2 linked regions of the Sus scrofa genome follow. The protein of the gene in region 2 interacts with the protein of the main gene of each other region in a pairwise test. Links are inferred from orthologs where the notes say so. Each region holds a gene or a part of one and is shown on either strand. Other genes may lie near its edges. The genes, in order: TNP1 and SDCBP2.

Region 1 (2,847 bases), on a different chromosome or scaffold from region 2:
AGTCCTTATCTCCTATCTATAGCTCTGCATTCTAATCCCTTTACCCATTTCACCTCCCCATCAATCCATTCTCCATCCAGCAGCCTCTAATCTCATCATATCTTCCCCTTAAACATTTTCCCATGGCTTCCCAATGTACTTAAGCCTGGTCTGGTGTCTGCCTTTCCTCCCAACCTCATCTTGCCCCATATCGAGAAGTGATTATTCATTGATCTATGTTGGCCTGATAATGGGTTTCTCTTCCACTAGGCTGAGAGTGCCATGAACACAGTCTATGTCTGTTTTTACTCACTAATATTTTCCTAGCACTTAAGTGCATGGTACATACTACATGATTAATAAATACTTGCAGACTGAATTTTTTAAATGGCTAAACCAGTGGTTCTCAGCAAAGGGTGAATTTTGCTCCTCCCCACAAGGCAATCTCTGGAAACATTTTTGATTGTCACAGCTGCAGGGGCTGTACTGGCATCTAATGGGTACAGGCCAGGAATTCTGCCAAAACATCCTACCATACATAAGACAATATGAGAATTAGGAAAAGGAAACCTCAACTAAGATCGGAGTTAAGTACCCATAGAGGGAGCTCTCACACTCTACCACTCAGGGTCAATTACCCCCCAACAGGATGGTATCAGTTACTGATTCCAACAGGAAGACATCAGGTACTGACCCCAATAGGAAGTGTAACTACTTTACTACCCCAGCAAAAGGAAGGAAGACTTCCATTGCCCAGCAACAAGCCCAGCCAATGGAAAAGTTCACAACACAGCCAATGAGAGCCATCACCACCTGCCCTTTTACTTTCCTCCAATGAGCTCTCATTGTTTCCTTGTTGAGGACTTCCTTTCCTGCCTGGCTCTCCTTACTGTAAAAGGCTTCCTTGTGGTGCAACCCCTTGGAGTATCTCTCTGTTTGCCAGAGGAGATGCTGCCTGATTCATGAATTATTTAATAAAGCCAGTTAGGTCTTCCAACTTACTCAGTTAAATTTTGTTTTTTAACAACAGTCCCGCATATCCAACCCATAGCGCCAGCTGTGCTCAAGAGTTAGATGAAAGAGAAGAATATTTACATTTTGGTAGTATTGAATTGGATTTCCTAAAGTCCTTAAAGAAACACATTTGTTATCTTCCAATGCTGTAAAGGGAGACAAACAGGATGCATATACACATACTCAACAACCACTAAATCTCCAATAGGCAGGCGACATCTGTTTTAATGGTTCTTATACTCTCCAGATACCTAGCACAGGGCTGGAATTTAGGTGCTCAACAACACCTGTCTGGAAAATCTCCTAATATCAAAAAAGACCTCAAAATTGAGAGTAGATTTGATCTGCATTAGCAAGGCCACCTTATTTCACCTATATTACCAAAGGGTAATAAAGGGTAGTGACGTCACAATGAGCCTGCCGCCTGCTAAGCCACGCCCCCTGCACAGTCACAATGGCTAAGGCCTTAAATACCCAGACTCCTGGCCCCCTGGCCCTGCAAAGCCCCTCATTTTGGCAGAAAGTACAATGTCGACCAGCCGCAAGTTAAAGAGCCATGGCATGAGGAGGGGCAAGAACCGCGCTCCTCACAAGGGAGTTAAGAGAGGTGGCAGCAAAAGAAAATACCGGAAGGGCAGCCTGAAGAGTAGAAAACGGTGCGATGATGGTGAGTGAGGGATGAGTGGGAGAGCTGTCAGACAAGGGGCATCCTGTCGCCCCAGGGCCCTCCCTGTAGGAGTCAGCACTCATGGGACCCTGAAACCTCAGGCTAAGTTCATTTTCCATTAGGTTCCTATGTGGGCAGGAAGAGGATGAATATGTTCTAACTGGTGTTGTTGGTGCAAACTTATCTTTTCCTACAGCCAATCGCAATTACCGCTCCCACTTGTGACTCCACCAGCGGCTCTCCCCTGGTAGACTTCAAGGACACCAGGCAGCAACAGAGAACAGAAGGAGGACTACCAAGGAGACCTGAAGTTAGGTCAATGCCAGAGAAGAGCCTATCATGTGGGTAAAATGCCAGTTGCGACAAAATGAGGAATGTATATGTTGGCTGTTTCTCTCCAACATCTCAATAAAATTTTGAAAACTGAAAAGTATGTTTCCTTTGCTCTTTTGGTTGGACAGTGGTTTCCCTAGCTGGGCAGACTTGGGGGAAAATTAGCAGATATACCATGAAACATGACATGGAAAATATCAGAGTAATTTGTCTTTGTAGCTCTCTCCCCAGCTTGGGCCATGCATCAGCACCATGTAGAGGTCTTATTCTCAAGGTACTGTCTACCTCCCCAACATGGAAAGGGGAGATAAAAGGAGAAATGGGAGACATACAATACAATTATGAAGCAAAGGGTACAAGGGGACTAGAACATGGAAACACCAAACCATGAGCTAAAGCTAAAGACATGGCTCAGGAGTTCCCGTCATGGCTCAGCAGTTAATAAACCCCACTAGTATCCATGAGGGCATGGGTTTAATCCCTGGCCTCACTCAGTGGGTTAAGGATTTGATGTTGCCATGAGCTGTGGTGTAGGTCACAGACAATTCGACCCCTAGTCTGGGAATCTCCATTTGCCGCGAGTGCGGCCCTAAAAAGACAAAAAATTAGACATGGCTCAGAGGATAGAGAGCCCTCAGTGCTTCCAATTCATCTGATTGCGTGGGCATGATTAGCAGGTTGTTAGGGATACATCTGGGCAGAGGCCAACCTGCACTTGTAAAAGCCTCATTGGGTTTGAGATGGACAAGACCAGAGGCAAGGATACTGCCTAGGAGACTCAATTCAAGCCAGATGGTGTAACTCTGATGTCATAAATGAACCTTAGTCAGGTGTCTGAAAGTAGGAATGACCTC
Region 2 (3,821 bases):
ATCTTCGACCTACATCACAGCTCCCGGCAACGCCGGACCCTTAACCCACTGAGCAAGGCTAGGGATCAAACCTGCAACGTCACGGTTCCTAGTCGGATTTGTTAACCACTGAGCCATGACGGAAACTCCTGGAAAAAGTTTCTTTAAAAAAAAAGAAAAAAAAAAGAGTTCCCATTATGGTATAGTGGAAACGAATCCCACTAGGAACCATGAGGTTGCTGGTTCTATCCCTAGCCTCGCTCAGTGGGTTAAGGGTCCCGTATTGCCTCAAGCTGTGGTGTAGGTCGCAGATGTGGCTATGGCTATGGGGTAGGCCGGCAGCTGTAGCTCTGATTCGACCCCTAGCCTGGGAACCTCCAGATGTGACAGGGGCAGCCCTAAAAAGACAAAAAGACCAAAAAAAAAAAAAGGTTAGACGTATATTTATCACACTATCTAGCAATTGCACTCCTGGACATTTATCCCAGAGAAACGAAAACTTAGGTCTGTACAAAAAGCTGGGCACAAACATCCATAATAGCTTAGTCTTAGAAACAACTAAAATGTCCCTTAATGGGTGAAACAAACCAGGCTACATCCATACCAGGGAACACAACCAAGCAATTAAAAGGCATGAAGAGTTGATACACACAACAGCCTGGAGAGATCTCTGGGGCATGATGCCGAGTGGAAAGAGCCTGTCTGAAAAGGTCACACACTATGTGATGCCACTTACATAACCTTCTGAAATGGCAAAATTATAGGGACAAAAACATGCTCATGGTTGCCGGGGACTGGGGCTGGTGAGGGGAGGCTGGGCATGATTACGAAGGGGCCACACAAGAGAGAGCTTTGCAGTGATGACCTCGTTCTATATCTTGATTATGTTGATAGTTTCCAGGGATAAAATGACCTAGAACCTTAGACACACATTGTATCAATGTAAAATGCCTGCTTTGTTGTTGTTTTATCTTTTTATGGCTGCACCTGCGGCACATGGAAGTTCCTAGGCGAGGGGTCAAGTTGGAGCTGCAGCTGCCAGCCTGCACCACAGCCACAGCAATGCAGGATCCATGCCGCATCTGCAACCTACAGTGCAACTTGCAGCAGCACCAGATCCCTAACCCACTGAGCGAGGCCAGAAATCGAACCCACATCCTCATGGATACCAGTCGGGTATGTTACCACAGAGCCACAATGGGAACTCAAAAAAAAAAAAAAAAAATACATCTTCTCTCAAGTCACAGGCCGCTCTTCATTAAAAATGCCTGGGCTCAGGCCTGGTTTAATGCCCTCCTTTCTCATCCAGCAGGCTCAGGCCGGCAGGTCAGAGGTCAAAGAGCAGGCAGCAGCCCTCCAGCCCCAAGGCCCATGGAAAACCACAAAATCTCACAGCCCTTAAAACGAAGACTCAAAAATGAAAAGTGAGGAGTTCCCGTCGTGGTGCAGTGGTTAACGAATCCGACTAGGGACCATGAGGTTACGGGTTCGGTCCCTGCCCTTGCTCAGTGGGTTAACGATCCGGCGTTGCCGTGAGCTGTGGTGTAGGTTACAGACGCGGCTCGGATCCCACGTTGCTGTGGCTCTGGCGTGGGCCGGTGGCTACAGCTCCGATTCGATCCCTAGCCTGGGAACCTCCATATGCCGTCGGAGCGGCCCAAGAAATAGCAGAAAGACAAAAAAAAAAAAAAAAAAAAAAAAAAAAAAAAGAAAAGAAAAGTGCCATCAAGAAACAGAGGCACAGCAATGCTGGGGAAGGATTGTTTCAAGTCTGTTTAAATGGCAAGACCAAGAAGGAGGGATACCAAGAGACAGATACCTACCCTGGCCCCTTCTGGAATCTGAGGCAGGTTCTGCTGGACTTCTTGGCTGGAGAGGGAAAGACCCATATAATTTTCCAATTCCGCCAGGTTTGGGTACAAAACTGATGGGAAGGGAAGGGAGGAAGGAAGAAAAAATGTGTTACCCTGGGCATGAGCTTAGCCACACCCACCTGGCTCCCAGGCGGTCACTCATTTTTATGAAGAAACCAGGCCTGGGGATGCTGTTTACTCGCGAGAATGCAGCATACCCTTGAGAGCACGCTGCATCCCTGGGATCGCTCGCTGGCAGTGACAATGACCGTCCGCTTTCTCCAGGAGTGGCCTGGAACCTCCCTCAGGTACCACTTTGGTTCAACTCAAATGACTTTATTTGGCATCAGCCAGACATCAAACACAAAGGACAGCACCCGTGCTGCCGGAGGCAGGCGTCCCACCCCAGGTCAGCTCCGGGAAACTGCATGGCGAGGAGGGCAAGAGCTGGTCCTGAGTTCAAGTTCGCTACCACAGGACCTGAATCGAGGCGGCCACAAGCAACTCCAGGGCCACCACACCCATCCTGGTCTCCTCATGCAGCCTTCTTTGGGGCCCCAAGTCAGGGCAGCGGGTGCCCTTGCAGAGCTGCAGCTTCCTCAGTGGCAGGCAAGAGGCTGGCACTGGGAAATGGCCAGGAGAGGTCACTCTCAGCCTGGAGCACCCAGGCCACTCACCTGGAGGCCGGGAGTCATGTTCTGGCACTGGCAGGGCGGGCATCCTGGGGACGACTCTGGCCTGGGCCTGGGGAGGAAGGAGGGGTCAGCTGTGGCCGAGACCCCCAGAGCCCCTGGAGCCTGGGGCTCCCTGGAGCTGGGGGTTAGGGCATTAGGAATGCTGGTGGGCCAGGGGGAGGGGTGTTCATGACCCTTTGTGAAAATGTGGCCTCTGGAGATGTCCGTGCTTCTGGAAGGGGGTTCTCCTGGGGCCCATGATCCCCCAGATGTCACGGCTTATTTACCACCTGAGGCAGCCAGACAAATTCTCAGTCAAAAAGTCCCCAGTGCTCAAAACCCACTAGGACATCATGTGGGATGGAAAGAGGAAGGGGTTTCTGGGCTGAGTAGACCAGACGCTGGGGTCTCCTCTGGAAGCTTGTCTTAGAGCGTGGGGTCTGCCCGAGCTTGGGTGGAGGAAGCGCTAGGGTGGGGCTGGCACGAGACAGGTCTGTCTGCAGCCCTTTGGTTTCTCCATTTCTGCTGTAACTGCCTTGCCTCAGCCTCTAGACACCTGCTTTGCCCAGCAGGCCCTGCAGAGGGGGCCCATGGGCCTTGGGGCCTATCAGGAACTCCCAGGGGCCCACAACACTTGACCCAAGACAAGTCCCCCTTAGTTACCCTGGGATAATCCCCAGGGCCCCATCAGGGGACTCAGTGAACAGCCTGGCGGTTTACCTGCATGGCTTGGTCCACCTTCAGGTCCTCCAGAGATGGGTACAGGGTGGACATGGCTGCTCTTTGGAACACACTGCAGGGCACAGAGGGTGAGGGGTGAGAGGAGGCTCGGATGGACGTCACTCAGCACTGTCAGGATGAGAAAGACGTCAGGAAGGTGTTACTATCCCCATTTTAGAGATGGGGCAGCTGAGATCTGACCCAAAGTCTGTTTAGTTCCTGGACCCAAGCTCTCCATCCCTGCAGAATCCCAGCCCATCACGTTCCGCAGAGTCTGGGCTTTCGAACCTGGGCCAGAGATCACCCCAGACAGGCTGACCAGGCAAAGCAGGATGAGGGGCCGCGTTTCAAAGGCCAGACAGGCTTCTGAGGTCTGATCACTCAAGACCTAGATTCAGTCCAACAGAAGAGGTTGGTGAGCAGCTGCTGTATACCCAGGCGGCGCTAGGGGTTTGCGTAGCATCATCCCACAACCATGCAGGGTTCAGTCCAGTGTCAAGTGGGTGGGGACTTAAGATTACAAAAGAAAGGCAGCCGGCACTTTAGAATACTTCTCCTACCCCTCACAGCCCCTCCACCTCTGGGCATTTGAGCT

The links.
Region 1: the proteins of SDCBP2 (region 2) and TNP1 interact in binary tests that used the Homo sapiens proteins (3 or more experiments, as listed by UniProt). The two-hybrid records come from large-scale screens. The link is inferred for Sus scrofa from reciprocal best matches to the Homo sapiens genes SDCBP2 and TNP1.

Annotation. Positions count from the first base shown.
Region 1 is NC_010457.5:119,036,735-119,039,581, reverse strand, and holds TNP1 (spermatid nuclear transition protein 1), read left to right. Parts: upstream 1-1,482; 5' UTR 1,483-1,521; coding exon 1,522-1,660; intron 1,661-1,856; coding exon 1,857-1,885; 3' UTR 1,886-2,090; downstream 2,091-2,847. UniProt on the Homo sapiens protein: Plays a key role in the replacement of histones to protamine in the elongating spermatids of mammals.
Region 2 is NC_010459.5:33,976,808-33,980,628, reverse strand, and holds part of SDCBP2 (syntenin-2), read right to left. Parts: exon of another isoform or gene 3,515-3,821; intron 3,356-3,514; exon of another isoform or gene 3,300-3,355; 5' UTR 3,281-3,299; coding exon 3,227-3,280; intron 2,577-3,226; coding exon 2,510-2,576; intron 1,904-2,509; coding exon 1,803-1,903; intron 1-1,802.